Linked DNA regions of Drosophila melanogaster. The protein of the gene in region 3 interacts with the protein of the main gene of each other region in a pairwise test. Each region holds a gene or a part of one and is shown on either strand. Other genes may lie near its edges.

Region 1 (8,538 bases), on a different chromosome or scaffold from region 3:
ACATCAAATTATAAACGAAAGTTCTCAAACAATTTAATCAGCGGCAACAAACAACAAAAACATTTCACACACACACACACATACGCACAGTGCGAACGAGAGGGAAGATATCAAAGGAGGACAGCAAGATGCTGGCTCCCCCACTAAAAAATGCTATAAGATCTGGTTCTAAATGCATTGCCATCGGAAAGGGACGGCGAAACAAGCAAAGGCAATGATACAGAACGAAAGGGGGAAAATCAGTTAGTTCCTGGCGGCGTCAAAGGGTCGGAAAACCCGGAAGGGGGGTGGGGCCAAAGTGGAAAGCGCAGAAAACGCATTCTAACAACAAGCTAGTTGATGAGCGTAAGGGGAATCCCACTAAAGTTACGGGAAGCACAAAACTAAGCATAAAGACAACCACAAGTTAAAAAGAGCCTTTAAGAAGCGACTTGAGGATACCTTTAAAAGATGTTAAAGGATTTCTAAAGGATTTAAAGGATACGCATAACCAACAGCTTTAAAATCTACCCATTATAAATGGCTACTGGAAATCATTCGACAGCTGTTACTAAAATCTTGTATTGGTGTGAAAAAATATTTACTGATTAGTATTCTGTACTCATTAATATTTCGCCTTGACCAGTTGCATGTGGAAAATTCGAGTTGGCTGGCTATAAAAAGAGTTTTTCTTAAAAAGCACAGTGCTTATATATTCGGTAGCTCAAAAGAATGCTGCATACCAAAACTGGCTAATTGAATACGTTCCGAGCCCGAGTTACAGATGGTACAGAAAGTACCAGAGAGTGCCAGTTAGTGCTATTGGATGGGGGGGAGGGGCGGTCGTGTGTGGGGGATTGGGACAACTTAATTTACCGCTCGACCGGCAAGAGACAGCTTCTTCTTTTTCTGGTTCACATGTCTTCGTTTGTCTAAAAAAAAAAATTTCAAACGATTTTCTTCGGTGGTTTTCCACATTTTTGTGTGTGCAACGTAACACGTTTTCCAATTAAAATTACAAGAAAATTGTTTTTCTTTTTTCTGATTTTCTGGTTGTTATTGTTTTTGCTTACCTGTCACTGGCAAAAAGAAGAGCGTAATCCAGACAGAGAGCGAGAGAACGAGCGTGAGCGAGAGAGCAGCATCGTGCGAGAGAGAGAGCAAAAATCCTTGTGCTGGCACTTTTCTTTACAAATTTTCTTAATATATCCTTTTGTTGTTGCTTTCTTCTTGTTGTTGTTGGTGGCAGGCCAATGCAACAGGTAAAATAGAGAAAATATGGAAAAAAAACAGAACCAAAACAGAAACACCGAAAACGAAACAGGCAAAAGGGCAAACACAAAAACAAAAAAAATAAAGAAAACAAAACACAAACTTTGTCAGCACTTGAAAAAAAAATCGTTTTCGTTTCTAATTTTCTCTTTGTTGAACGCGCGCCATTTTTCTTCTTGCCTTTCTTCGAGAAGGTTTTTTCTTAAATAGACTCTTTTGTAATTATTTAAATTAAATTGCTGTTGTTTTTTTTTTTATTTTGCTGGCGAGAGCCGCGGTTTTCGAACTGCGACGGCGCGCCTTTGGAAACCAACTGAAAAAAAAAACACAGCAATCAGAGAGCGAGAGAGGATGAGAGAAAGAGCGAGAGAGAGAGCGGCGACGTCAGCGCGAGACACGTATGTCGTTTAAGTCTTTCGTTTTGGTCGTTCTTGTTCTTGCTGCTGCTGCGTTGGCGCAAGCGAGAGAGAGAGAGAGAGGGAGAGAGAGCTGAATTTCAGGTGTGGCAACCGGCAAAATCACAAAAAAAATCTTATTTTATCCAAGTACACAAGAGACAGAGCGAACGATGGAACGACACGGGGCGAAACATCATTATGACCTGTCCAGAACTTAATGAGAACAGAGTTTTACATATGAAGACTACTTGTTTCTGGTTTTTGCATATTGGTTTTCGGCCTATATATATATATGTAGCTTAGAGATATACTATGTATGCAAGGCAGAGCCTAAGAATATAACTCCATCAATCGGAATTGAAATAACTAATTAGAAGAATCAGAAAGCTAACAGAAGCACTTTTATCTATTCAAAACGAAAACGTAGTCATAATATCGTTGGAGTTTCATACCTTTTTACTACCAAATCGTTTGATTGTTAAATGGAACGCAATTTATTTTATTGTCTAATGTAAAAGATAAGTTATCAACAAATTACATTGATGGATAATCTTTGAAGTAACACGTGTCACAAGAAATGTGATTTAAAATATTAAAATAAAAATGAAATGAAATGACTTGAAACATTTAACATATATGCAGGTTCCTTTAATCACCCCACTACAGAAACTGGAAATTTTTGAATAATCCCAATAAAATTGATCTGTGAAAAGATCTCTTGTGGTTTGTAGATTCGTGGTAGATTTGTTATAGATTTGTAATAGTTTTAGGCGCATGGCATGGATCGGATTCTTGGCTCTGTTTCTTCTCTTCTTATCTCTCTCACTGGCTCTCTGTTGAAAATCGGGTCGCTGCTTAGTTATTCCGCACAGGTGTGAGTGTGTCTGTAGGTGTGTGCGTGATACCTGTTTGTCCGCACACACACACACACATACGTACACAAACAGAAGAAACAGTCATCATCATCGTCTAAGCCAAGTTGCCTCTTTTCACCTTTCCTTTGGCCATTCAATTCCGCTCTCGCTCTCCCTCTCGTCCCCTCTCTTTCGCGCCCGCCTTCATCGGGCGGGAGTGGGAGGGAGAGGGCTAATGTCGCAAGTAGCCGAGATTCGATTCTTCTTCTACGCTGCCTTTTGAGCTCGCTTCCTAATCCATTAACATTTCTCTATCCCTCTCTCCCTTTCTCCTACTCTCTTTCTCGCTCTGTCTCTTTAGCCCTGTCTTCTTCCTCTTCTTCGCCTTCTATGGGCTCGGATAATTCTTCTTCTATCTTCACCATTAAATGATGACGACGCACTCGCAAGAGAAGAAAAACCCAATAAAAAAAAAAAATAATAAATAAGTCCGACTTCAAAGACTTTTATTAAAATTCAATCAATCAATCGCAAAAATGACAGTTCGATCTTCGCAATGATGAATGGATGGTTTTGAATCTAAAATCTTTGCCTTATCACCCACACTCTCATAATTATTTATCTATTTAAATATGCCATCGTTCAAAAATTTCCATAAATATACATTTTATTATTCCGTTTTTAAATTTTTTTTATTTTACAAAAGTACGTACGTATATACGATTCTGTATTATCGTATTACCCTATATAAAATAGTCACATAAATACCTATATTTATGATTCATGATTTAAAAGTGAATTAAAACACGTTTTAGCAAAATGAAATCATCTTCAAGCAAGATCATACCGTGATTTTGTATACTTCTGAAGAAGAGATCTGATTAAAACGTCAGTGATAAAAGGGCTTATTCTAGACGCCGAAAACCCATCAAAATTGATGACCAATGTTGGTGACAGATAATTTCTTTGTGCGACGTTGGCCATATAAATAATGTGTGTATTTTTTATTTATTTACTTTTTTTTTGCCACGCTCAACGATCAGCAGCGACAACAATTTAGAAAATTAGTTGCACACTCAACGAAACTCGTTCCATTGGCTTTCTAACCGGCAATGAGGCAAGCAGATCAGCGGTACAGTTGGCGGGGCGGCTAAGGGGGCTTAATTTTTGTAAGCGGCCGGGGGGGGGGGGGTGTGTTGGTGTTTCGATGGGGGCTTACAAGGGGGTGGCGAGTGGGCCAACTCTCCCATTACATCTGCATATGTGGCATGCAATTGGATCTGCCTGGCATATTCCAGATTGCCATTCAATTCGATTTGTGTTGTGTGGAGTAAGCGAAAAGCGAAGGAAAAAACCGAGAGCCGACATGGTGAATTCTCGAGCGGGGTAACCAGTTAAAAATGGGAGCTAGAGCTGGCCTCCAGTTACTGGCGGGGGGGGCGATAACTGGCGTGGAATATCTTCGAAATTGCTCGATGTCTCGTATTCATATGCATTAACAACCGCTGCTTGCTAGAACTTGCGAATCTCTCAAGTTCCAGAAACCAACAATTTCATAGATATTATCACACCAGCTGGTTAACTTTTTTAACTGTTCCTATGTTAAATTACTAATCTATGTCAATTTGAAACCGTATTTGGGTATATTTAATATGCTGAACTGAAGACACTTCGTGAAATCTTTGAAAACTATTGTTTACTCTCAAGTTTACAGTTTTCAATGAAGTTATTATGCGTGTTTGAACTTGAACTATCATGCTGTCACTTCCGATTTCGTCAATTGTTTTCGTTACCAATTCATTTTTTTTTTTTTTTTTCGTTGGCAACACCTCTGGCCAATTTGCTCGCCTGGACTTTTCCAAGCCAGTCAAATTTGCACTCGAAGTGGAAAACTTTCGACTGTGAGTGTTTCGGTCGGTTGTTGTGGCAAATATATAAATTTGTGAAATTGTCAGTGCCACAAGCAGAGATGATTTACCGCCCCGGGGGCTATGCCAGCGACTCATTTATCAAGCAAAAAATAAAGAAACCCGAAAATGAAGAGAGTTCTAAGTTGCGACTGGGAAACTTTCACCGGGTGTCGTTTCAACGCGGTGCGGCAATAAAAGGGGGGAGGGGGGACCACATTTTTTTTTGCAACTCTCGCACTTGAGAATCTCGGCCGGGGAATGGGGGGAAATGCTAGCAAATCATATTTTTGGTGAGGGCGGGATTGGCGGTTGGGGGTGTGGGATTTAGTTGGTCTCAAAGTCTCTGGGCTTTATCCTGGCCAAGCCGAGTCATAAACAAATACGGTTTGCTGCTGTTTTGTTTACATTCGCAGTGTTTGGTGCCCACCGACCGACGTCTTTTGGCCAGGGGTCTTTTGGTCTCTTGGCCAGACTGGTTTTTCTCCGGCCAAAAAAGGAAGTTGCTCGTAAAGTGGCGAAAGCCGCCAACTGACTGACCCAACAACAAAGTGTGCAAAATAAAAATTGCAAGAAGAAAAATCGTTAAATAAAATAATAAAAGCGCTTTCTTTCTGTCTGCCCCTTTTGTTTTTTCTTTGTGTGTGTGTTGTGTGTTTGTTTTCTTTCTATAAATTTTTGCGGTCTGCGTTTCTTCGATTCAACTATTTTCCATATTTTTCTATTTGATATTTTGGCAATTTTGGCGATTTTCACTGATTGGTTTTTAATTTTTGCATTTTTCGGTTTCTGTTGGTGGCACAGCAAAAAAAAAAAAAAGGGAAGAAGATCGAAATATTTACCGCCGCACTCACTCGAAAAAAAAACTCGTAACACTCAATTGGAATTTAATCGGCAGGTTGGCCTTTCTTTCTTTCTTTCTATCTTTCAGTTTACTGTTGTTGTCGGCTCCGATATTCTTGTCACTCTGTTCTGGCTGCCCACACGCTGGACGTATCTGTTGTGGGCCTGGGATTCGGGTTCGGATCAGAGTCACTATCGCACTGTCACTACAGTTGGTTACTTATTAGCCGCGCTGGCTGACCGTTCACGACGACGCTCCGCGAGCGACTGACCAGCGGATGCTAGCGCAGCCCACTCGCCGCCCAACCAAAACCGAAGGCATCGAACCTTCGAACCATCGAACCATCGAACATGTTGCGTTGCAGCCGCTACTCACAGGCAGTGCGACTTCAAACAGAGGCGCCGCTTTCGAGAGCGAAAGAATTGCATTGGTATGCTCATGACTGCCCAAGGAGCTTGCTTCATCATCAAACCAATTCATTATTATTATTTAGTTCTTATTATTGAGATTATTGTACATACTTAATAGCAAGTAATAGTTCTACTAAAATGCTAGCTTCATTTTATTTGAGAACTCCGCAGCTTCGGAGTGCACATTTCTTTGTTCTCTGCTCTGCGTTTAAGTTCTAATACTATTTAGTTACGCTGCAATTCCTAATAGCCCCCATCTACACCTCTGATGCAACATCGATTCCATGGCAAGGCTATGTTCGAGCGTGCAACATGCAGCATGTTGTGTTTTCATTCGAACAATTGTTGCTGCCACAGTGCGTGTTGGTGGTTCTAATTGACAGTTTTCCAGAACAACTTGTTGAGCTTATTGTTGTCTTAATGGGGTGCTTATCTACACCTGCCACCCCCCCCCCTCCCAGACTTTTGCTTGCCTCGCGGATTATTGGAGGACAATTCCACCCCCCCCCCCCCCCACGTCACACTCTTACACTCTCTCTATCTCACTCTCTGTCCGGGTAAATTGACGATTTGAATATTTACATAAACGATTCTGATTACAATTGAATTTATTATTTAGAGCAGCTACTTAAGCCGCTAAGTCGTTGGGTACATAGGACATACATACATACATACATACATGCATATGTGTATTCATTTGTCGGCTGTCGCTTGACAAATGATACCTTTTCATGGAACTTTTATTTGTTTATTTTGCTTTCTGGAAGGCACAATCTGCGGCACGCCGAGAATATTGAGTAAACACACAATTGCTGCTTGCCACGTGCAACGTGCTCGATGCTGGCAGCGAACGCGGTTCGAGTTGCAAGCCCCTTCAACAGGTTGCCAGGTTGCTCTACGAAAATAATGTAAGCTCCTTTACAAGTCCGTACGAAAATTAATTCAATACTCGGCTAAAAATAAACGCACTTGTTCTCAAGTACAAGCTTACACTCACACACATATGAAACGGAACCTAAGTAAATCCCATTGTTTTGGTTTTAGAACTGAGCAGGAGAATTTTGAAGAAGTTCTTCAATATTTACTCCCAAGAATTCGAGTGTATCCAAACTATTCGAATAGGGCCTTCTTCCGCGAAAAAAATCGCTTTAATTGCAGAGCAAGTCAGTCACCAGCCAAATGAACAGCTGTTTCGGCTCCTAAAAACTTTTGCCTGACCGCCTGCTGGCCGTTCCGCATTCTTGGAAGCGGAATTGAACAATTTGAGATTTTCGAAGGGGAAAAGCTGTTTCGCCTATCAGGTGGCCAAGTAGAAAGATATATACATTTCCAATCCAGTGCTGCGGAGACATCACCGAACGCTCTACGAGCTATAGGAAAATTCTCTATTGCGTCTTAATGGATTCACAAAACATTCTCGTTTAGACATATTTCGCAGTGAAAGGTGATAGGGCCAAGAAAAACAATTGGCCGAAACCGAAATGCGAAGTAAACTTTTCATGCACAAAAACCAAAGCGTGCAATTCTTATATTTATATTTACCCAGAGATTCTCGCGCGTTTTATGACGAGGGTCATTTGGGGAAAGCGTGACCCGGCCGAAAATAAACAAAATAAATTTATTAACCATCTCCAAAGTTTAAACAGCCGTAGAGCATGTTCTCGAGTGGGGGGCAGTGCGCCAAGGTTGCACACTTGATCGCAATTCAAATAAATGACTGGCTTACACAAATTATATGCGAACTTATTAACTTAAGCCAATACATCAAAATATGTTTAAATATTATATCAAAAATAATAAAGTTTTTATTTCAAGAAATTCCCCACCAACCATAACATTTCCTAAGTTATTTATTGAATAATCAGAAACCACGTAGATATTAACTATACGTACTAATCGTGTTGTTAATCTCGAAATTGGTTTAACTATTGTTCCGGATATGTAACTGGATGCAACGGATATGATATAAGGTAAATTATTTGGGTGAGCCCAAGTGCATGTGAGTAATTGGAAAAGTTTGACACGTTAACACGACACAAGTTGGTTAACTGATGTTATATTTTTTCAACAAGCTATTTTCCACGTAACCCAGGGGAAAAATAACCTTTGCTTAGCAAAAAAAACGGAAATCCGTTTAAAAATAAAGCTTAAACGACCACAGCTTTTAGCCAGCATTTCACTCTGGTTTATTGGTTTAAGCCAAAATAAACCTATAATATCGACTTTTAACAGCTTCAAAAAGCTAACACTTTTAAGCTTTAAGCTTTTGCAGAAAGCAGTGTTACTGTGACTTGGGAAAGTGACCGTTAAAAGCTTTTCTATTTCCTTCAACAACTTCTGTTAAGCCAAAAGAGCTTTTCCGAAAAATGTTACACCAATGTTAATGTAAGGAAATCGTTTTCTTTATTTAATCATTGTATTCTTAAGTCTACTGTAAGTAATCGTTTTAATTAGTAATTTTAATTTCTGTTGTGGATTCCATTCCGCGTCTCCTGCGTTTTTGCTTTCTTACTTTTCTTTTCTTTTTTTTTGTTACTTTTGCTTTAGTTTAGTAATAATATTCATTATAAGATACGAGTAATCTCAAACACAATAGAGACAGTTACAGAGCGACACACACATTTTAATTATATTATTATTGCTAAGACACAAGAAATAACGATTTTGAAATAAATGCTAACAAAAAAAAAATTAGAAAGAGTGCCAGCCCGGTTTTTTTTTTCAAACCGTGCCTTTCCAAAATTTCTTCTTTTGTGGTTTGCTTATTTTGAATATAAGGATTGTGGTTCACGATTATTTATTTGGCGGGTACAATAGATTTACAAATGGAGTTTTATGAGATTCTGGAAAACCTTTTGCTAAATACAATAATTT
Region 2 (8,974 bases), about 17 Mb from region 3:
TAAGCGATGCACCGCGGGATTGATTGGTCGTGAAATAATTATACTGATTAACTTATTTGCTACACAACCGCCTACTCGTAAAGTAAAAAGAATGCAAAAGGTATAAGGAAGCGTTTCCGTACCAATTAAGAACATTGTATCGCAAACTTATTAATTTTTATATATATACATATATATATATGAATATTACTTAAACTAATAAACGAATAGTTTTTTTTCATCGCTGTATTCTGGTTTCGGTTTCTGGGAGTTTAGAAGTTAACAAACCGCCTTATAGTTTTACAGCCCCACCCTGAAAAAATGGTTTGATTTAGTTTTATTTTATAAATAGTCTTGGCAATTTGTATACTTGTGAAAAAACATTTTCACCACGCCCACACTAGCGCGCACAATTAACAAAATCCTGTAGTTACAGAGGTGGTACTCTTGTCATTTTGGAAGTTTTATGTATTATGTAGTTTATGTATATATATAAAAAATATTTTCTTAGAATTTAAATTATTTAAAATATTATTATTATTATATTATATATTAACACATATTTATTTATTTATTTATTATATATATATATATATATATATATTAATATTATAAAAATTTAAGAGTTAGTAGCTGATCGCATTTCTGATAGTTGAGGAACTCGACTGTAGCGTTTTCTCTTGTTTCAATTTGCCTTTTTTTAAATATCTACACCGTTACTACATATTTTTTACATGACACAGTAGCGCCATCTGTGCACTTATCAGTGTTGGATAGCAGCGGCGACTTCGATTAAGCAATCGATTATTTGTTGCATATGTTGTTTACGGCAATTGTTTATATTTATTTACTGCTGGTGAAGTGATTATTCGTGATGGATTTTGACAGTCCCGAGGAGAAGGAGTTTCCCGGGCTGTACGCCTCCGAGGCGGCGGACGCTAAGTCGAGGAAGAGCAAGGAGGAGAGCGACTGTGAGTGGAGCGCAAAGATGTGGGCGTAAGCTGGGAAAAAATCAATGGGCTCACCTTGCCTTTACAGTTAGTGAGGATCACGACCATAGCAAGAAGGACTTGTTGATTGGCCGGCGCAAGGACAAGAAGGAAAAGGGCAAGGATCGAGGATACGCCGCTCTGGAGGGCGAGAGCTCGCCGGAGGAGGAGCTGGACACCAAGTGGGTGCAGGTCAGCTGACCCAGAGACAAGTAATATTTTTTCTTTTACTTCCAGAAGTCCATCCAAGTCGAAAAAGTCAAAGACCTTTAAGTTCACCAGCTCCAAGAGCAAGGAGAAGCGGGAAAAGTCGCGGGACAAGTCTGAAAAAGACTCGAAGCACGCAGAGGAGGAGCCTTCCGTCTCCCACAAGGTCAAGGAGAAAGAGCGGGATAAGGAGAAGGACCGTGATGAGCCCAAGAAGAAGGACAAGGAGGAGAAGCGCAAGGAAAAGGACAAGAAGGCTGACAAGAAGGACAAAAAGGATAAGAAGAGCAAGCAGCTGTCGCAGCAGCAGGACGACGTCTCCGCCGCGGAGGAAGTGCTGGCACTTGGGTATCCCGTCTTTGGGGTGTCCGTTAGCTTGGCGACCGAACGATCCCGCTGCCACGACGGCGTGGACATTCCCCTGGTTGTGCGCGACTGCATCGACTTCCTGCAGGATCACCTGAAGTGTGAGCAGATCTACAAGATTGAGCCCATCAAGACGCGTCTGATGCACTTCAAGCGGTTGTACAACAACCGGGAGCACGACTCCGCCGTTGATGAGCTCAACCTGCCTACCGCCTGCAGTCTGCTGAAGCTCTTCCTGCGCGAACTGCCGGAGCCACTGCTGACCACCGATCTGGTGGCCCGCTTTGAGGAGGTAGCCTCTCATCCGAAGGTAACCACGCAGCAGGCAGAGCTGCAGCAGCTGCTTGAACAATTGCCCAAGTGCAATCGCACCCTCTTGGCGTGGGTGCTGCTCCACTTCGACGCGGTGATCCAGCAGGAAAGACACAATAAGCTCAACGCTCAGTCGCTGGCTATGCTGCTCAGTCCGACGCTCCAGATGTCTCACCGACTAATGGTGGCCCTACTCTGCCACTGCAACAACTTGTTCGCGGACGTCCAGCTGATAAAGTGAGCAAACACCGGCTAGCCGGATAACAGTGGTGGGAAATATCCAAGTACCTTTGTGTTGGTAAAAGAGAAGTCCACATTTAACAACTATAGTTAAATCACAAGAACGAATCGAAGTCATAGCTCTGAAGTTAACTACTAAACTGTTAGTTTTAGTAAACTGTTAGTTTCCATATTTATCTAATGATATAAATTGTTTTTTTATATGTATAATAGGTACTTATAAGAACCCAGATAATTCCCACCACTGTTGGCAGTTGATAAGATTGCTGCTATAAAAATCGCCAGATTTAGTCGTTTATTTTGCAACCGACGATGAGCACATTACCCCGTAAACAGAAGCGCTTTCCACGTTTCGCCAGTTTTCTAATCAGGCAGAATGGCACACATTTAAACAAAGTTATCATAATACTAAATTGTCATCTCTTAGGTATGTGCCCCCTTTAACATCGACCAGCCCAAAGCTTCCGGATACGCCGGAGGACATCCAGACGGAGTTGCGCAAGCAGGACAGCCTCCTGTCCCAGATCCACAGCGAGATGAACGCCGGGTTCATTACCAAGAAACGCGAGGAACAGCTGTGGGAAGTGCAGCGCATCATTACCCAGCTGAAGCGGAAACTACGAACTTTTGAGAAGAAACAGGAAAAGACTGCGGAGGAAGTAGACAACAGCAGCAGTGCTCCGCCCGCTGTAGCCAGTGAAGATACCACTGACTCCAAACCAGCTGGAACTCCAGCCGTATCTACGAACAACAGTATTTCCCAGGAAGAGCCAAAAACCGATACACTAACTCCGAAAGATGCTCCTAACGATTTTACTATTGATCCCAGCACTGGCTTTATTTTGCTCCCCAAATCAAATCCGCACCGCGAAAATTTGCTGCGGCTCCAAATTGAATATGACGAGCTAATGGAATGGCAGAACGAACTAAAAGCACGTATCGTCGCCGAGCGCAACGAAGTCTATAGGCTCAAGCAGCTGTACGAGCAGCAGTCAATAAACAGTCAAATGGCCTCCTTGGCCTCGGGATCTCAGGCTCCCCCAGAATCCGACTATGAGCGGATAATCGAGCACTATACACGGGAGAATGCGCTGCTGGAGCACAAGAAGAATATGCTGGGCATGGAACTAAAGGAGGAACGACGGGCCTGTATTGCTCTACAAGTTGAGCTGCGGCTCCAGCAGTTTTAATGTATTAATTCGATTAATGTATTACTTGGATGGGTCAATTTGAGGGATATAACTAAGTTCCTATTCCGGAAACTTAATGGTCACATTTCCAAAGAAACATAAAAGGTCTACTAGGCAATCATAGGAGGTTTCTTAGATTCGTAGAAGACAATTCTATGTCACATATCTAAAATATTCAAATGAATAAACTTGTAAAGTTTTTGATAATTCATTTATCTGCAAACGTAGTCACTGTTCTAAACAGTGTCCTTTGTGAATTGCAATATATGAGAATTTTCAGTTCAGCTTTTAAGGAGATAAAATACTGCTAAAACATAAAACGGATTCCTCATGCCTAAAGTCAGTTTATTGTTTATTTGGAAATGAGCTAGTTTCAGACTTGACCCACCGAAATATATGTATGTATATAGGGTTACCAATTTTAAATCTCAATGTCTACTTGCGATCAAATGCTTTGTTCAAACTATAATTACTGTTAAACGGCGCAAAGCCCCAAAGAAATCTTGTTAGACAACTTTACTGCTTTCAACAATTAAATGAGAAAACAAACTCAAAATTCCCTTTTCTGTACTGAACTATTGCATCGAAATATGTCTCCTCGAAGAATTTTGTAAATGCCGGTAAAGTAGCTGCGTTTGTGTGTGCCGACAATCAAGATCCGATTTTCTAAATCGGTCTGATGACTTAATTCCAATCCGAGAAATACAGGGCACAGATTAGAAGATGTTTAGACGACGGATTGGCTGTTCGCTGGGGTGAAACGGAAATGACATCATCTCATATTACGTCTTGTCAACATTGTGATGGTCAAGGAACCGAGGTGGGCTTTGCGTGTTACGATTACTTTATTTAATATTTATTATTAATAATTTTAGAATACATTATCATTATGCATTACGTTCGGGGCGTGTTTTCTGTATTCCGCTGAAGTACAACTTAAAAATATCACACACAAATACCACGGGGGAAAGATGAGTCCTCCGGAATGCCAAACCGCGTCAACTCGCTCCCCTCCATGATTAAGTTATTTCCGCTGGACTACAGATCAATGGATCCATAGCTCTACGGACACTCCTTGTCGCTGATTTTTTGAAAGTCTAAGGAAGAGCACGGAAAGGGATTTTAATTAATAATCAGTTGTGGATAAAATAAAAAAAAATGTATGGTAGTAATGTGGGTTAATTCCCTTGCACTTACTTGCATTCTGGAGACAATTTTCCGTCTTCATCACGCACAGATTGCGATAGGTCTTGGTGGAGCCCTTGTCGTCCGCAGCGCAAATGGATCGGTACTCCTGCGTGTCGCACTCCATGACGCACTTGGTGCTGGGATCGGGCAGACCGAGGCACTGGACCAGCGAGAGGGCAAGCAGCGCGACTATAAATAGATGGAGGCATCAGACCCAATTAGTTAGGCAGGAGGCGTGCGAAAGAACCACTGCCCGCCAACCGGGCAACCCGCATACAAAGTGCCCTGATCAGCCCATCGCCCATGATATCACCCACAATCACATCCCCACCACATCGCCCATATCCGCCCATCGATTCTCCGCGACGCCAGAGCGTCTGGCAATGCCAACGAATCGGAGTGCCTGACTTTCCTATGGGAGGAGGGGCGATTGACGTACCCTGGAATTAGCGCTGCATACCCAATTAGCCATGCTGGCACGCAACAAAACCAAGTCCCCACTACCCAACTGCGTTGCTGGGGTGTCTAACCCAATGACTCAATCGAAGTATGAAATTTTCCATTCATAGGTTTGCGATTGCATATGAATGAAGTTCATTGGGCCTGTGCAAAATACCCTTCATTGTATTCCGAAATCATTTTCTTTATGTAAGCTATGTTAGTTTTAGTGTCCTTTCACCCGATTTAGCAGTTTAGGGTCTCCACTTTGTGGGTCATTTGCAAGACTCGGAAGCGTTATGAAGATACATTTATTTATGCTGATAAATATGAGTTAAGTTAATAAATGAAAAACTATTGAATTGTATACAATTTAATATATTTTCGGGAAAACCCCTAATATAGTACTTTGAAGAATTAATGAATGCGATTTAAATGTTTTCAAGGAGAGTCGCTCAGTTATGCAATTGAAATTGATTTATTTATTTTTTATTGATAAGAATGCTTTAAATGTTAAACCCTGTGCCAAATGAATTGTATATACACTAGTTTGACCTCGCATTTTTGGCACACATAAAAATTAAATCTAAAGCTTACCAAATTTTCTTAGAAAGGGTCGTAAATATGTTTATTTAACATAAAAATCTTTGGAATTTCTTCAAATTAAACAGAAATGAACCCCCAGGGAAAATAATTATCTTTTAATGACAGAAAATTCCACATAAATCCTGCTTTTCTTTCATCTCACGTCGCGAAATATGATTCAGTGAGCAACGTGAATTTCGGTGTTTCATGTGATCTTTCTAACCAATTAGTTTAAACTATATATGTACTTACTGGCCAACAATACTGCTGAGAGCTTCATGTTGTTACTAGTTGGTTTAGTTTTCGGATTGGCTGTAGGAGTAGTTTTCACTTTATCGATGCGATGGCCAACACTTTGCACAATCGTATTTACTTTGCAAGAACTTTGCGGGTCAGACGAATTAATTATGCCGTGCCTGCGCTTGGTTTCTAGCTGATTAAAATTGTTTTACGATTTCACGATTTATATATATTCAATGGAATATAGACGCCTGATTTGGGGCTTGTCACTGAACTTCAGACACGTGTGTGCGGCAGTGTTTTGGTTCTCGATACGTTGTAGATTAATTCGCGCACGATTCTTTTTCGTTTCTGATTCTAATTCTAATTCTGATTCAGAATGTAGAGCTCGTAACTGAGAATTGAGAATTAAGAACTGAGTACTGAGTACTGAGAACTGAGAACTGAGAACTTAACACTGAGTACTGAGAGCTGAGTACTGAGAATTCAGAATTCCGATTCCGTTCCGATCCGAATCTCTCTATCGGCGAGGCCGCACAGCACGCGTCCAAATGCGAACTGAAACTAAAGCGCCGACCGAAGATATCCTCCAGCCAGCAAAAGCAAAAGTCGAGTGGGCTGGCTAGTCGATTCGATTGACTAACTGACGCGGTGACTCGGTTGACTGATTGATGGCTTGGCGGCTGGACGATGTCCGCTGGGACTGGGATTCGTATCGGATTGGTATTGGTATGCTGGGATGCTCGGATGCTGACCGCTGTTAGATGTTGGTTGGATGCTGGGATGACTGTGCTGTTGCTGTTGCAGATACTTTGATGCAGACAGATTTTGAGTCTGGTTTGGGTTTGGTTTTGGGCTTTGATTTTGGATTTTTTGGGCAGGAGATGGGGCCGGGTTCGGCAATCAATCAATCAGGCCCTGTCCGTCCGACCGGCTATCTGTATCTCGGTATTTGGTATCTGAATCTGTATCTCGGTATCCGTATCTGTATCTGTATCTGCGGCTGTCGTCTGCCGTCGTAGCGCACGAATGATGTCCGACCACACAGTGCCTGTTAGTTTTATAGAATTTTTTCATGCTAAAAAGATTTACGCTCGTGTCGTCGTCTTTAATTTTCTTTTTGTTTCTCCGCACATTTCGCCTGTAGTTGATTTCTGATTTCAGATTGTTTTATTGTGTTTTTTCCTCTGGTATTGGGTATTGGTTATTGGGTATTTTGTATTTTGTATTTTGTATTTGGTATTGGGATGGATGGATGCGGCTGCTGTTAGTTGGGCCGGAATACACCAGATGAAGCGGGGCAGGGCTCCGAAATCGGATGGGTAGATCGGTAGAACGGTGGATCGATGGATCGGTCGGGCCGGTCGTTTGATCGATAACTCTACAGGCAGGTCACGTTGTCGTGGACCAGCTTGTTGTTGCTGCTGGGTTTTTTGAGTTTGAATTATTCATGTATTTATGCAGTCACTAAAAAGTTTGCTCCTCATCGCTGACCGCTGTCAATTGGTTCACGTACCGCTCAATACTGAGATGCTCGCGATGCTTCGAAAATCGTTCAAAATTTCGTCAGCATTTCCGAACAGACTCGGCACACGCTTATCGCAATCTGAGAGCTCTATAGAGCGGGAGAGTCAGGTTGTCGCAGTACAAATAAGACGAAATAAAAATATAAAAGAAAAAAAAAAAAGAAAGCAGGGCAAAAAATATGAAAATTATTTGTTTCAGTTTGCGATGGCCACGAGTTCACTCCACTCAGCAGTGTCTATGAATTTTCTTTGATGCTGCTTCCCCCCAGATACAGATACGTATGTATATTACGCTTGTTATTTATGGATACGCGACGCATTGGATTTAGCATTTCCATTAAGATTTTTGGAATTTTCAGACTTATCAGCTGCCGACTACGCAGGCAGCGTTAAGTCGCATTCGCCACGAAAAAACATTATCAATTGGTGGTATGGTGGTTTCCACGGGGTATTACCTACCGAATGTAAACAATTGCATGGTAAACAAATTAAGTCAAGGCAAAAACAATAAAGTTCTGTTTTACCTATCTGCATTACGAGTATCAATATACCACAATGAATCCCCATTCCAGTCAAAATAAGTTCGGTATTTCTTTTAGGTTTTATGCTAGTGCGCCTAAGGCAAGTCTACTTAGGAGGTGTTTTATTATGAAAACGGTGCACTCTAATAAATAAATCGAAAGTCAAACTTGGAGTCTACGATAAAACTTGGTACATTGGTCTAGCTTATGACTATTATTGTTCTACGTTGTGAACTAGAAAAGAACTACGAAATCGTTTGAACTAAATTAAGTTAGATAACTAAGTTAAGTTAAGCATTAAGCAGTTAGCCATTTAGGTTTGCAAGAGCAGCGCTACGCCGGCCAGGATCCATTTGCCTGGCTTGTCTTTGGTCTTCAGATTCAAGTTGGACACATAGGTGGTGGGGCCTCGGGTGCGGGTCTTGTAGACCGGGCACTCGTACATGTTCCTCAGATCTTGCTTATCTTGGGTGATTGCCTGCGGTACATAGACGAGGTTAAATTGAATCGGATTCGCATTCAGTGTAGTAGAATAATGGAGTGGAATCTAGTTTTCGAATTTATGCCAACATGCGCCAGCAATGAGACGCCACAGATCCGCCCTCGATTCGCCGATTTGCGGATTTTAGCATTTGCCCGATTTGCATTTCCAACTCACCCGAATGTTGATCACCGGCATGGATGGGTAGAGCTCCTTGAGGCGCGACTCCATGATGATACCCTGCTGTATGTCCCACCTGGCGCCCTCCATGAAGATCCCATGCACGCAGCAGCCGTCGCGCGGTGCCGTCCTGCAATTTACAAGATCATCTCAGATGCCGCGACTATAATCGTAGCTATAGATAGCCACAGGTCTAGCCCAGAGCCAACTAAAGGGGGCGGGTGTCGATGCTAATCTCCATGCAGAGATGCATATTAATTCCGACGACGGCGCGACGGATCTCCATTGTTCTCCCACCAGCGTCGCCATGTGAAACGTGGCTGGCGGGGCGCCACTTAATAAGCAATCATCTCATCAGCCGTTCAGCCCATCAGCTCATCAGCCCAATCAGTCGTTGGGTAAATAGACAATTGTAATTTGCGGTCTATTAATAAGTCTCACATATTTATATACCAGTGCTGGTTTAAAATTAGCTCTTATGAAATAGCACTGTGCCTATTTTTAGACACACTCGCTGGCCATTGGCCGCAGC
Region 3 (8,600 bases):
CTCCGAGGACGGCTTGTGGGCTTGAGCATATGCCTGCATATAGGTGTTTACATTGAGAAGGTAAAAGTCGATGAATCTCTCGTAGAGTCGGGCGTACGCCCTGAGAGGCAGCACCGCCTTGGCGTAGCAGTTCTTCAGAAGCTCATTCTCCCTCAGGAACCTATCCTCGATAAGCTCCACCGTCAGGATATACAGGTTAGGGGCGAACTTCAAAAAACTCATGACAGACCCATCAATGCATCTTACTCCAGACGATTTCTCCAGGCACTTCTTAAAGATCTCGACCAGCCCCGGCTGGAACTCATCCGGGTCAGTGGAGTAAAACACCTTGCGATCCTCGCTGATGCCAAGGGTCATGGCGAATACAGGTTTTTGAAAGGGGAACTCGGTGTCGATGTAGTTATTGGTCCACTTGTAGTTGGACTTCAGTTCAAGGAATTGCAGGCAGGGGTCGCAAACGAAATGCGAGAAGTTCATCAGCGACGTCTCGAGCAGCACCTCCATTGACTCTTGCATACGGAACTTGACCTGCAGTATAAACCGCGAGATCTTGCACATGAGATAGACCGTCCAGGTGTTGAGGGAGATGTCCAGCCAGCCCTTTCCCAGGGCTCGGAGGACCACGGTGATGACCGTTGTCAGCTGTTGCGGCCAATAGACTTTAAGAAACGTGGCCACGTTGTCGCTATGCGCCTCCTGCGCTTGCAGGAAGTCCACTAGCGCCAGGGGCTTGCTAAAGCTGCAGATGAAGATCGAAAGTGTTTCGATGTACTGGCACTCGATGGCCACTCCGGCCATGGCCTCGATGCCACCGACGCAATAAAACAGACTGGCCTTCAGGTAGTCGTACCGCTTCTCCTGCATGGTTATGCCAAGGGCCTGCAGTTCAAGACGCTCCTTCCCGGAGACGTCCACGGCGAAAGACCGGGGCAGAAATTCCTTGAGGTTGATGTTCCGAAACTGGGGAAATTCCTTGGGCATCTTAAGGATAAACTGCTCCAGCTCGTATAGGGCCATTAGGCGCTCGAACACCAAGTTCACCTCGGAGCGTAGTCGTCTTTTGCACTGCTCAGACACCTTAGCCGCCTGCAGGACCGATTCGATGGGCTTAAAGCTATAAAACACGGTGGACTCAATGTCCTCGTGCAGGACACAATCCACGATCAGCTCCATCAACATAAGCTGCTCCCCCTTGTGCCGCTCGTGAACAGCGGCCTGCAGCCGCTTGATGTACTTGTGCGGGTCCTCAGCCATGAACATGAACTGAAGCTTGGGTACCGTGTAGGTGCATCCGTCCTCCAGCGATAGAAGCGTCCAGAGGTCGGAGTCCTCGTGGTGCGCGGTAACAGCTGCCATGCCCCACTGGCAGTTCAGCAGGCTTTGGTTGTAAGGCAGGTACGCCTTCGCCGGAAGCGGGTAGTGCGCATCTCCGACAACTCCCAGCTCAAACCAGGCCGCCGGAGAGTTGATGTCAAAGTTGCTGTCGTCGAAGTAGCTCAGGGGAAACTTGTGTGGGAAGGCGAACTCGGACATTACATTATACTGCTCCTCGGTGGGCTGCAGCACGTCGTCAGTGAGGCCCGCCTTGGCCAGCTCATTCACCAAGTTAATCTTCTGGTACTGACGACGCCTCCGATCCACTTCGACGTCCTTTGGAAGATGCCGCTTTGGCACGTAGCGGGTCTGGATCACTTTCGGCAGGATCGTGGGCAGCGGAAAACGGTGTGCCTTGCCCATCTTGTCCATCAGAGTGAGCCATCGTTGGGCCTCCTGAATGGGGTAATATACATCAGTAAGCTGATTCCGCGGAATATATAGCTCCTGATAGTTCATCATAGTCGTTCCCGGTCGGGGCGGCATGATGCAAATAGCTTTCTCAGCCTCACGCTTGAATTGACTGTCATCCGGGCCCTTGTTGCTAATTGAGCTGGTGCTGCTCTCATCGAATTCCTGGGAACCTTCATAATTTTGTCCCACCTCTAAGTTCTCCGGATCCATATGAAATATATTGTTAAAGTGGATTTAAATGAGAAAGTGGCGTTCCTTTCAAAGCAGTGTATTTGTTGATTGTTACAAAGCCCGAGCATTAATTACTGCTGTTTAGTCAAATTAAACCAAAAAATTCGATTTTATAAAATTAATGTGAATATGGCGGTCTCAGCAATATTTAATATTTTTATTAAATTATATGTAAACTATTTTATTTCCAAAAGGATACATTGACTTCAGTAAGGTGTTTGCATCGCAGTGAATGAGGCATTTGCGACCATATAAAGCTCACTTTATACTTTCTTGATCAGTATGAACAACCGAGTCGAAATAGCCATATGAACAATCGAATGTAAAATTTGGTCGTTTAATTTGGTATACATTTTTTACTACATTTTTTTAATTTTGAACAATCTTTAATTTCAATTTCAAGCTTCCGTTGTTGTTTATTCATTTTTTATTATTTAGCGCACTTTTATGAGAATTATTTTTTTTGCCGTAAAAGGTTTTACTAAATTCGATAAAGGTAAAAAGAAGCATTTCCGACTCTATAAAATATAATATTCTTGAACAGGCCAACAAGCCGCCCCAAACTACGACGCTAACACGCAAGACTTCACGAGACTTTCACTGTCACAATTACAAAGTAATTTGATTGTAATGCGAATTTCTATAGATATACCATTTTGCAACATCTCGCTCGCAGTAATGCGAATTTCTATAGATATACCATTTTGCAACATCTCGCTCGCAAAGTCGAGGAACCCTCTGACTTTTGTCTGTTTTTCGTCCCTTATAACACCAACAAACCGCCCAAAACTCCCACGCTTTTGAAAAATTTTTTAAATAGTTTATTTTGTTTTTTAAATTTCCTTCGATCTGCTAAAAGAATGTTGGAATTTCTCATTCGCACTTAGTATACGACTTGAGTAACAGGACTTTTAAAGTAGGGGAACTCGATCTTGTTTTGATTACAAGAAATATTAAAAAACATTTAACATTCTACATTCTCTAAATATCGTTTTTATGATGACAATGCTAAATAATGGGTTCCGATAATATCGATAAGTACCGAATTCTCGAAATTCGGTCACTCTTTCCGGAACGGAATCCACAAAGATCATTTTGCCTCGTCTCAGTTCAGCCTTTTTAGATTTTCCATAGCCAGATCTAGATTATCTAGAAACGGAACAGCCAGAACTAGATTATGTCTAGCTCAAATTATTTGGTAAAGAAATCAAATAAATCAAATAGTTAATTTAGTGTAGAATTAAACATGCCAAAAATTACAATCCTGCCACAGAAACCTTTATTTAAAGTTAACTACAAGTTCAAAGAATATTAACGGCCTGTGAAAAGTATTCCCCTCGCAGTCAATTTATGCTTTTGCATTTCATTTGGCTGAGGGTATACGGGTATAGTCGCGACGATCCATATTATTTTTCTGTTTCCTTGGTACCTTCTATGCAGGTTATCAAATCACAAAGATTTTACGCACAATATTATTTAATCTGTAATCCCTATCACAGTCCTTGCGGGCTTCAAATAACCTAAGTCGAGCTTTAAAAATGCTAAAACGGCAACACTCGTGCCAACATTCTGCTTAGTTGCTGCCAACCCAATCTAACATGTTCGAAGTTGCGAGACCGTTTTGTACAAAAATATATTTAAGCGACTGGCAAAACGCGCTCTCTTTGTTGCTGAACGATTTCACTCGCGTCGTCGTTTCCCAAGAAATCCGAAAGATATGGCTAGTTGACTAAGAAGTAATTCGATATTAATATATTTTTTTGGAAGCGCATATAGTTTTATTGGGCTAGATCGCATTTTCTGCATGGTGAAGTCCGTTACGATATGTTGTCGGATATATTTTATGTGCGGTGAGATCCAACGCGGTGTTTGTGTGTGTCTTTTGTTGGCGTTGCTGTTGTTTGTAGCCATCGCCATAGCCATCGGCATCGCAGCCCGCGGTATCGAAGTTTCAGTATCAAAAGCATCGGCAGCCAGCCCAAGCTGAAACTAGTCGATTGTTCAATTCCCAAAAGCGCGGGCCCTTTACACTTGCGTTCGTTCTCCTTCGCGAGTGTGTATTTGTGGCCGTGCACAAGTGCATTTGTGTGTGTGCACTCGGGATTCCTCTTCCATTCCAATCGCCGCTCGACCCCCCCCCCCCCCTTCCACACCATACCTCGCAGGTGAGTATCGCCACAGCCGCGAAAGCATTTTCCAGCTGCTCCCCACCCTCGCCTTGCGATTCGGTGATATTAGTCATCACCGCCATTGCCTGTTTGTTCATGGTTTAATTAAAAAAGTGGCGGTAGTCCACTGTTTCTTGCTCTGCTTCCCGCCACGCCCATTCGCAGCGGCAGCGTCAGTAGGCGATGCCGAAGAGAGTCGCCGTGAAGCAACAGCCAACTAAAAGAGCAAAAGAGCTCACACGTGTCGGTGGCTAAGAGAGAGCGCACAGGGGCGTGGGTGCCCTTCGTGAGAGGGATGAATTATTATTCCAAAGGATTGCCCAGACTTGTTTTCATAGATTCTCTGGTAACCTATTCGTACTTTAATGAATTAAATATTGTTTATTGGATTAATCTGGTTCTATGAAGTGTAAAAAACAATTGACCCTTTCGGTCTACAACTGTAATTCATGAATCACTTATTCAATACAATTTTATATTAAGTAAATTTTGTTGATAACAATGGAAATTATATTGTTGACCATTGTTTCCCAATCGAGATAAAAAAATTCATTATTTGAGGAATGCGGGTATTAGCAGTAGGTACTTCTATGCTACTTCGAATACATAGAATATTTCTTCTTTTTAGTGGTACAACTTCTTCCGTATGAGAAGTATTTTAGCAGCAGCTTAGGTATAGCAGCTAATTCCTTATCCTGAGAACTGACTTTAAATAGTATTAAATAGCCGAACGCATTTCGCTGTCTTCATTGTCTACTGTGTACCTTTGTTGGGTAAGGAGTGCAGTGGTGTGCCGCCTATGTCAGTCAATCAAAAAGTTTCACCTGTCCGCCGAATGCGGAAACGTCGAGAAATGTAGTTGCATTCGCATTTTTTCAGGTTTTTAGGGTCAGCCAACGAGTGCGCTAAATACTTCGATCAGAAATTTATGTATGTGTGTATGTGTGTATGTATGTATGTATGTATGCATATGTATGTATCACCTGGAGAATGTGGTGCGGCATCAATTACCGCTGGCCGGTGGTCAGAAAAGCGAACCTGGAGCTACGTAGAGTCAAGGGCTTTCGCAAATAGATTGCAACAATGCAGTGCTAAAGTGCTAATTGATCGCTTTGCACCTTGGCCCTCGCGTATAGTTATTTGGCTGGCGCGACTGGCTTAGACTCAGTAAACACATTATCTGCTTAGATTGCTCAGAAAACACATCAAATCCAAATATTCATTCGCGTTTACACGGCAAATCTCAAGATTGTGTCTCATTGCCGGGCTTCGATTTTCTCAGAAGAGAGGAGCTATACAATCGGCTGGCTGTATCAGTCACACCCACAAGCAATCTGAAATTATTCGGGCCAACATAAAAATTCGGCCAAAGTCCATGAGATCTTGGTTATAGAGATCGCATGTATTAGTCCTCTGGTTTATATGTACATAGGTGCTCGCTAATATGTGTTTTGGCAGCGCATGCTTAATAAGCACTTTTGGGCTCTGCTATTATGAGGAAAGTTTTTTAACCGGTTTGTCCTATGGAGAAAGAAAAGAACAATGACATCGTACGGGTTCTCTGGCCCCTGAGACTCTCGTCTGAGACTGAGATGCTTGGCCACGATCTTCGTACCATTCGGGGTTAACACATCGTGGGCATAATCATTCGATGGACAGTGACAGCATCGTCAGAGTCAAGAGAACTAGCCTCACCACCTGTTGCGGTGCTATAAAGACAAATGTGCCGTTATCGGCGGTGAGATGGACAGATCCAATTCATGATGGTAATGCGAATCCAGCTATCGTTCGGTTAGGAGGCAAGTCTATGATAAAAGTTTATTAAATGCTTTTGGCATACTTAGGCTCCAGAGCCCTTAAGTAACAAAAGATTTGATATAGCGGTCGATATAACCTATATCTTGAAATATATAATGATCATAATACGCCAATATAAGGATTATAATTCCAAAGGGAAAAGTTGACTAGCGACTGTGATGTCTGGCAATGCAGCCAGTATTTAATTTTAAAAGTATTATTTTTACAGTTATTAGTTTATACAGCCTTTGCCTAATAATGATATCTTATGAATTATATTTAAATACCAAATGAGAACTGTATGGTCGAGTTCCTTGCCTGTTAGTCAGCTAGTAGATGTTTAAGCGAGAATCTTTAATATTATTTTGGCATATCGATAGAAGTGTTACATACATACTTCCCAACGAATCTACTAGGCTATACTTTACGAGTAATGGTGCTCTAAGAATTTACCTCAAAATGGTAAATCGCCTTTATCCTGCATGGTTAAACAAAATATTGTAGAAGAGATGCAATGCATACGAATTTTCGAAATAAAAGAGCACTTTGATATCTTTTGGTAAATGTAACTATATATGTTATTTAAAAAGAAGTAAAAAGCTATAAGTACCATGTACTCACCTTTCCAGCAAATAACATCATTAATATTACAATATTACCGATAGATACCCATTGACCGTCTGCAAGGGTACACAAACTTCGGCTAGTCGAAGCCGGCTTTCTTTCCCGTTTCTTTTTTCGACATTGACGGGACCTACTCGTATACATTTCGCACATTAATTTCATTTACCCAAAGATTCGGACAGTTTTTCTCTGTCGCTTGCTGTTGTCTCTCTCTCATTTTCCCCAGCCTTTCTTTGTGCGTTTTTTGTTTTTTGTTTTTTCTTTCATTGTTTTTGTCGGGTTTTACGTATTTTTGGAAAACTTACCACGCCAGTGTTATGTAAGTCGACCCCTCGATCTCAGCGGCTTCTCCTCAATTTAGAATGCCCGAGGCAGAGTCGCAATAAAACAATAAACAAAACCTCCATTCCTGACACCCGTAACCTATGCTTTGGGAACTATGCATGTGCATAATTACACATCGATGTATTTAAATGCCATTAATGCAGTGCGGCCCTGCGATGGAAACTTTCATCGTGTGTTTCAGCAGCTCGGTCGGTTTTCCGTGGGGTCTGACCTTCCCGAGCAGCCAAACAAATTACAAGTGCACACACATTAATCGGCCAGCCGACCTGAGGTCGTCAGGTGGGAGCGGTCCGCGCGATTCACTTGCGCTTTCGTTTCAATATATCCGACCACGCTTCTGGCGATCCAAGCCAGTGATCGAGGGCCGCCGCCTTTATTTGCTTGCGAGGAGATCGGAATCCCAAGTGTCTTGTGTGGCCTGACTCGATATTTTCAAGACGAGCACTCACACAATTCAAAAAGCATCGCCGCGATTTTCGAAATTTCGTCATTTAAATAAATTAATATTTATTTTTTAACAACGAGGACGGAAGATAATAACACCTTCGCAAATACAATATTACGATATACAAAACAAACAGAAAACAAAACAACAAAACCCAGGTATCTAAGGTATCTAAGAAAATACTTATAAAATTCGCAAAACGAAACAGATATCGCAATCTATCTCCGCACAATATCACAATATGGAAGGACTTTAACCCCCAATTAATTAATGCCGATAGCACTGTTTCTGGCTCCAGCCAACCGCTTATAAGGCAGCTAACTTATAGTTACGATTTTCTTCATTTCTCCCTTTAACCCCATATTTTTGATTAGGTTTTATATATAGCTGGTAAATTTAACGAGAACAGAAAAAAATAATAAGGGAGCTAATCGCCTATCAGATAGAAATAAGCAAGACAAATGATAATATAAAACGATTTCAAATACATTCACAAAATTCTTGATGATTCAGTTTTGAAAAGTTTTTGGCATACCGAAGAAATCCCTTCGACGTTCTAAATATATAAATACAAATATAGTCCACCCTTAACCTACGAAAAATTGCTAAACGAATGTTACGCAGAAAGTAATTGTCAAAAAAAAAAGATTTTTCATTTGACAATGAAAGTATATTATACAAAATTTACCCTTTCTAAAGATTATTTGTTTAATTAAATAATGTCGACTGGTAAAATCTTCACAGAAGAATCAGATTTTATGTTCAGCGTGTGAACGTCAGCAGTTATTTTATTTGTATATATTTTATATATTTAATTATTTTTAAAAAATACAATACCTTTTGTAGAGCATCAGTACACTTCAATTTTGAAACCATATGCGCTACAGTAGAAAAATTTGCAACGAGTCAATGCGTGTCTTAAAGAAGTATAAAAAATGTATTGTTGATTAAAAATCTTTTGACCAAAACTATTGAAAAAATAGAATTTCGAAATGCTATATGTGAAGGATATTTATCTATCTAGTTCCTTTGAAATTTTTAATTTTTACTAAGTGGAATGACTAAAGTTTCTACATGAAACTGCTTGCTCAGCACATAAAAATACGTTTTGTTTCGGAGAGGCAAAAATGTAGTAAAAAAAATGTAGTACAACTTTCCAAATATTATTGTGGGAAGTATTGCCCTCCCCAGCTTATTAATCA
Region 4 (7,009 bases), on a different chromosome or scaffold from region 3:
AATAGGATTTCGAATATATTGTATCCCTCGTCGAACCGGGTGCGCTAGATAAATCAGCCGGCGGCATGCGAGTCTGTTCGGAATATCATATTCGAGGGGGCATATGTTTGTATCCGTTTGTATATTTAGACTTGCGCTGCCTTGTGTGCGCATCTGTGTGTTTATGTCCAAGTGTTTACGGCCATCAATGTACAGAACTTAACCCATTAATATTAGCTAAGCAGAAGCCACAGCATGCACACACAATATCAAGGTCTCCACTATCGCGAGTTGTCCTCAACATGAAAATTGTGAAAATGCTTTTACTTTTTAGCGTAAATCGATTTGTACATATGTACATACACATACGCATATGACGCGAGATTTTCTAAACGAAACATTCATACGTATTCATTTCTCCGTTTATGGGGTTCCAGCTAATAATCCTATGGTATTTCATGGCATATAGAATGCTAGACATCTCGAGGCTTTTTCAAACTGCATGCGCACCAGCAAAAAGTGAGTTCCATTAGATGATGATTAATACTGCCTAAGATCATGATCTTCATGTTAGTCATGTTTAAAGCCAGTTATATCCCAAGAACGATTTAACACCAATGACGAATTTCAAATGTATCGTATTTATTATTTCGGACCTATTAAATGCCTATCAAAGATTGTTTACAAATATATATCGCTTTATTATTTTAGAAGGTTTGTAAAAACCATATTATTGCTTTAATTAGAAAACTGGCGGAAAATCGTTTGCTTAAGGAGTAGGAGTAGTCGTAGAAGTTGTTGAGGTAGACTGTGTGGATGATTCCGTAGAAGAAGACTGCGTGGTGGAAGCAGTCGTGGAAGAAGACTCGGTGGAGGATTCCGTAGATGAAGAAGCCGACGAGGACGCAGTCGTTGGTGTAGATTCCGTTGATGAGGAAGCTGTGGATGAAGCAGTCGTTGATGAAGACTCGGAGGAGGACTCAGTTGAAGAAGCAGTCGATGAAGAATCAGAGGGCGACTGAGTCGTTGTATCCGAGCAGCTGGTCGGCCTGGTTGTCACACATGAGCTGGTGGTTGAATCAAAGAACGGCGTGGAGGCGCCGCAAGTCATATAGAGGGCAACCCAGGTGGTTCCAGATTTCTGGCAGTACAGGTAGCTGTTGCACGTGGAGTCATCGGTTATTCTGGTAAAGAAGTAACTAGGATTGGTACTAGGCTCGCCAGCATTGCACAAATCCTCTTTCTGCGCAGCACTAGGAGTTGTCGTTGGAGCCACTGTAGTTGTTGTGGTTGGCTGATAAATACTGTTGCTACAGGTGGCATCCAATCCAAGCTATAAGGTATAACATGTTAGTATGAATAATTTTTAAAGTCCAACAAAACCTACAAATTCGGAGGCACAAGACGGTACACAGACGGTTTGATACGTCGACAGAGCATCTATGATACAAATCTCATCTGTGCCGCAATTGTACACACTGCTGGTCAGCACATCGCCGGCGGAGGAGCAGCGGGCATACTGGGTGCTGCTGACACAGGCGTATTTGGCGCCTGAGGAACACACTTCGCACTGAGCTCCATTTCCGCCAGAGCCTCCACACACGTCCAATATGGTCGAATTTACCTCGGAGATCAGAGCACAAACGCTATCAGAATTGGAGCAAACGGTGCCCGAAGGACATTCGATAATATCTCCAACTGGACCATTTTCTGAGGTAAGAAATAGAATGTTTACATGAAAGGACTTTAGGTATTAAAGGACTACGGTCCAGGACTTACTCATGCAATTCTGATAGCTGTTCTGATCAACGCAGTACACATCGTTTTGCTCCAGACAAGTCTGACATGACTGAGCTGCCACGAACGATAGTCCACACGCCATGATGGCCACCAAAGCGATTATCCTCTGCATGTTCCTGCCAAAGTTTTTACACCTTTTCGGTAGTGCTGCTCAACCTGAACGATTTACTGATATGATCCCAACCACCCATCTGCCGTCTTATATAGCGGAGGAGCTCACTATGCATTAACCTTCAATTGTTTATGGGTTGATAATATTGTTTGTCAGATTTCGTTGTCTATGCCTGCCAAAAGTCTATCATCATAAAGTAATATTGAAGCGATCTAAATGACAGCAACATGCTTTTTAATTTTACGTACTTCATACCGGGAAATGCGGTTCATAAAGTGTAATCGTACATATGTATATGGTATTTTTGAAGGTCTATTGACATTTCTGTTACCGTTTGAGTCATGTCTTTTCGAAATACATTCTTTCTTTATAAAATCTGAAGTTTAAACTTTTATTTCTATTTTTTGTAACTTGCTTTATTTTTCAATACACAGCGCACACATATGTTAGTAGCAGTTATTATAAACGAACAAAACATGTTTTCCAAATCCCATAATATTTTATATATATTTAAAAGTAGTGGTATGCAAGTATGTTTTGCAAATTATTTGATAAGTCGATTTAGGAGCATCCCGTTGGTTTCGTCGATACGCAAAGGCTGGTCGTAGAATCGAAATATGGCTTGGGTTGGTGGCAGGACAAATAAACAGTGTCCCATTCGGTGGATTCAGTTCTTTCGCAGTAGAGATAAGTGTGGCAGGAAGTATCCTCCTTGTAGATCGTAAAGAAGTACAAGGTTTCCTTAGGTATTTGAAGATCTTTTTCAGCTTCAGTACAGGCACTATTTTTCTGCTCTGTACTGGGTGTGACAGTTGTCGGTGCTGCGGTAGTTGTTGTCGTGTATTCACTGTTGCTGCAAGTGGCTCTCACGTCGAGCTGCAAAAAACAAAACAAAAAAAAAAAAGGACTAGAACACAACATAATTAAGTTACCCAGGAATACCTACAAAATCGAGGACACAAGAAGGCGTACATATGTTGTCGTACTTTTCCAGTGCTTCCGAACTGCAAATCTCATCAGTATCGCAGTCATAGATGTTTGAGTCGACCACAACCGATTCGGAACATCTCGCAAATTGATTTTTGCTAACACAAGTATATTTCTGATTTGTGCATGTTGCACATTGGTTTCCACCGGAGGTTCCACAGACATCGACTTCAGATTCTGCTAGATCAGAGCTTTTCACACAAACATTTTTCGAGTTTGTGCAAACCGTATCGTCGGGGCAGCTTATCACGTTGCCAAAAGGCTTGCTTTCTAAATGAAATCTTTTCAGAACTAAGTACTGCCGGAACTTAATTTTAAACTTACTGATGCAATTCCTATAGGAAGTTTGGTCTACACAATACACATCGTTATCCTCTAGGCACTCCTGGCACTCTAATGCCTTCACAATAGCTAGACCACAAAAAACTATGGCCAAAATCAGGAGAGTTCGCTTCATTTTCCAAAGGATTTCCAGTAGATTCCCTGGTAAAAACTCAAAATAGTTTGACGTTTTCGTTCAATGCACTTCCAGTCTTATATAGCTAGGAAATGCAACTTTTAGTGACGTTTTTATGGCAAATCTGATAGTATTGTTTGTCAGATTTGGTTACACCTGTAAATTTACATCAATAAAGTAATATTAAAAGCTTTTCGACGCTGAAAAGGGCGGACTTGTAAGTAACAATACATTTCACACATTTGCTAACTTAAATCATGAATCATGAATGATAACATAAACACGATCTTCAGATTTGTGGATTATTATTTACAAGACGAAGAATAACAAACAAAAAACAACAAGTACCAAATAAATTTCTCATGTGAACCTTAAGGTTGATCTTATCAACAAATAAATAAAAAACACGAAATGCAGACTATAAAAGATATACGTTGAGTAAAAGATATCACCTTCACAAGAATTGGCAGCATGTTATCAACGCGAAAATAAGTAAAACTCCGAGAAACACCTTAGTGCCCATTCATCCATGGAAAGTCGAAAGGAAAACAACGTGGATTTGCTTGCGATCACATTTATTAAGTTTCGTATTTGAATCAAATTTTCATAAATATTTTCTCACACAATTTTACATATTACACAATTCACGTTCTTATGGTTGTTTATGCTTGATTATCGTTTCCATTTACGAGTAACACAAAATCTCTTAGGCGAATTTAATAAATAACAGAAATATGCATATGCGTATGATCATTTGTTTCGTTATAAGCGAAAGTAAAATATAGTACGATGTAAATGTATATAATACGTTTCGAAGTGAAGGAGAGAACTAAAAGTGTCTGCTTATCTTAACGTACTCAAATAACAATATAATAGAAATAATTGGGCATACGCAGTGATGAACCCATCCCGATCTATAGGATAGCGCCATGGAGCTTTTGCGAAATTGTCTCCTCAGTTGAAGGGTATACTATATATGTAGCTACTATAGCTTTTGATGGTATCACCGATGCCTTTATCTGTGCAGCACTAAAAACAATTACAATTGGATGATAATGATTACACTTAGTAAGTTGACGCGTGGGCTGGTTTCGACACATCTCCGGAGTCTCATGAACTGGCGGTCTGGATCCTCGATGATATTACACATTGACATGTTGAACTTATGATTCTGTTGCTTTAAATATATATGTATTATGTAATGTGTATATATAATTTATATATGAAAAAATATATATATATATATTCATGTATTTATATGTATCATGTAGTTAAACTAATCTGTAATGTAACTAGGGCTCATTTGATGATTATGTTCTCAGTTTGTATGTAAAGGTTTTCGCTTTCCATTTCATTTCTTTTGATCTTCTGATCGTTATACACGTTGCGTATGCTTATGTAAATATAGTTAAGCTTGATTTGTGTAAGTTTATTATTTATAATTTGCTCTATTTTGTATATAAAATTTGACCAAATACATAAGATTTCTTTATATAAAACGAACAAAACAATTCTCAACGATATTTGAAACATGGTTTCACCTAATGCTTAACGGCCTAACACAAATAATAAACAAATTTTGAAATTTTCACGCGAATATCCGGCTTTCGCTTGCATCGGCTTGCTGGCTTTAACATTCATTTTCATTCTTTTTCAGCCTTCTTCCAGCTGGTAACTAAAGTAAAATTGTTGCTTCTCGATGATATAGGTTCTCAGACATACATACACTGAAAGTAAAACATAATTTCATTTACTTAATTTGCTAATTACTCTAATCAACGCGGCGTTCTCCTCCTTCAGGCGATGATTATCCGATTTGTAGGCATCGAGTTGCTGTTGAACGGATGAGATGAAATTCAAATTAGTACAGTTTATAGAGATATCCCAATGGGTAGACGTTTATGGCGGGAGAGGCACAAGTCTTTGAGTTAGATGTGCATGTTGCATGCTTCGTTAATCTATTAGGGATGCGGTAGCCGCAGCCACAGCAGCAACAACAACAGAAACAACAAGAAACAATTAGTAATTACTTAAAAATGGAACTCAGCTGGACGCCCTAATCTCGAGAATAAAACCAGATAGCATGCACTTAACCACAAAACTACACTCGAAACATAGGCGCTTAGATAATTGTCTCTGCGAAATCTGATTCGTGTGATCTTTATGACGAGTGTTTGTGTGCTGTGATAAGCGAGCTATAGACGAAATCGGAATCGATCATATAATGTCTAATGAATCTCATGAATTTGGATGCCTGATGCGAGTGTTCCATAGATATACACCCACCCAATGTGGCGTATTCAAACAATAAACCGCAGTAATCGAATAAGATCGACAGTGAGAAAAATGTTGTTTATTTCATATAGATATATGTATATATATATATATATATAACTCAAAATCGGTCGATGCTCTTTGTGGTTGAAAACACACGGGGGGGTAAACAAAATGGCAGATAAAACTGGTAACAATAGTAACAACAAGAGGTATAAATCCATAGTATAGTTTAATAGACATTATTTAAAGAGTAGAGTATTAAGTAAGTATTGTTTATATGTACATTCAGAGTGTTTCAAAATGTAGGTGGATTGAAAGCAACTTCATAACTTATCCACTTTTTAAAACAATGGTTTAATTCTCTACCTTCTATCCAAATGAAACAAATATATCAATTTTGAAAAGTTTGTCATTTCCAACCATTCTCCATCAGTTTGAAACACTCCATGTTACAGTTATAGCTAAATATATTTTATTATATTCTTCATATGTAGTATGTGTATAAAAACAAAACAACAGCCAGCTCATAATATTGGGGGCGCAGGTTCATAGAATGGCTCAATTGAGTGTCAGTGGTGGGGCATTTACCGTTAAGCATCCAGCATCACCAACTAGACCACTTCGCTCTCCCCGATGATCGACTGTGGGAGACCCTATATGAAGACTCCAGATCCTTGGCCCGCTAATCGCCGATGCTGTTTTTTTTTCTTCTCTTTTTTTTTTTTGGTGGTGGGGACTTGATGTTTGATCTCGTTGGTTTCGATGAGCTTTATTTTGATTTGAGAGTGGGCTAACTTTTGATTTACAAATACTTATCAACCGTACAGTGGTCTGTAGTAACCATATAATATGATTTCAAATTAGAAACAATTGCACCTAGCGATTTTCGTAGATTACCAAAAACGAACAAGGCGTGTGATTAATATTTTACTATTAAAAAATTAACTACTTTTGACGATTGCCATTCTATCAAAGGGCCCGTAGTATATAGTAACTCCCAAGGAGTAGTAGTATATAGTATTGTTAAAGTTTTATATTACCAGTGACCAGTCCAAAGCCAATGAGCTCAATGTGAACTTAATTTTAGCTACGATACATTTAGTTATTGTGTTTTCGGTTATGCTTAAATATCCATATAATTTTTTTAACGACATCGAAGTGTGTTTAGTATTGTATTGTAACGAACCAGGAGCAAGAAAAACATCGATGATTATTGGTTATTGATGTTGGCCTGGCAAAAACATCGATGCTTTTCCAGTTCTAATAGAAACGATATAACGATATTCGCGACATTGTGCTTCGTGAGCAAGGGGGCGTGAGAATTTTGGGGTGCATGTGGGCTGGTGCTGGGCAATCTAAATGCTTTTCTGATCTGCGCCTATTTGCTCTTGGCCAGC

Evidence for each region.
Region 1: the proteins of CG31523 (region 3) and mgl interact in a two-hybrid assay, tested with the Drosophila melanogaster proteins (one large-scale study listed by BioGRID).
Region 2: the proteins of CG31523 (region 3) and peg interact in a two-hybrid assay, tested with the Drosophila melanogaster proteins (one large-scale study listed by BioGRID).
Region 4: the proteins of CG31523 (region 3) and CG33258 interact in a two-hybrid assay, tested with the Drosophila melanogaster proteins (one large-scale study listed by BioGRID).

Annotation. Positions count from the first base shown.
Region 1 is NC_004354.4:9,494,622-9,503,159, forward strand, and holds the start of mgl (megalin), read right to left. Parts: upstream 5,509-8,538; 5' UTR 5,253-5,508; intron 1,569-5,252; exon of another isoform or gene 1,355-1,568; intron 1,279-1,354; exon of another isoform or gene 1,053-1,278; intron 1-1,052.
Region 2 is NT_033777.3:21,016,925-21,025,898, forward strand, and holds peg (pegasus), read right to left. Parts: upstream 7,240-8,974; 5' UTR 5,775-7,239; coding exon 5,747-5,774; intron 4,661-5,746; coding exon 4,481-4,660; intron 4,381-4,480; coding exon 4,346-4,380; 3' UTR 4,120-4,345; downstream 1-4,119. Other genes in the region: Rlip (Ral interacting protein), read left to right, coding at 854-950, 1,018-1,150, 1,206-2,090, 2,521-3,283; Dhc93AB (dynein heavy chain at 93AB), read right to left, coding at 8,095-8,259, 8,440-8,572. UniProt on the Drosophila melanogaster protein: Increases short-range diffusion of the wingless/wg protein, enhancing its signaling and expression of target genes required for wing margin morphogenesis. May act as a serine protease inhibitor since it possess the Kazal serine protease inhibitor signature.
Region 3 is NT_033777.3:4,474,217-4,482,816, reverse strand, and holds the start of CG31523 (uncharacterized protein), read left to right. Parts: upstream 1-3,609; 5' UTR 3,610-3,755; exon of another isoform or gene 3,756-4,184; intron 4,185-7,390; exon of another isoform or gene 7,391-7,565; intron 7,566-8,600. Other genes in the region: sac (sterile affecting ciliogenesis), read right to left, coding at 1-1,998.
Region 4 is NT_037436.4:16,078,918-16,085,926, reverse strand, and holds CG33258 (uncharacterized protein), read right to left. Parts: upstream 3,377-7,009; 5' UTR 3,336-3,376; coding exon 3,203-3,335; intron 3,149-3,202; coding exon 2,838-3,148; intron 2,768-2,837; coding exon 2,453-2,767; 3' UTR 2,289-2,452; downstream 1-2,288. Other genes in the region: CG13075 (uncharacterized protein), read right to left, coding at 749-1,312, 1,367-1,689, 1,759-1,891; Mbs (myosin binding subunit), read right to left, coding at 5,082-5,168.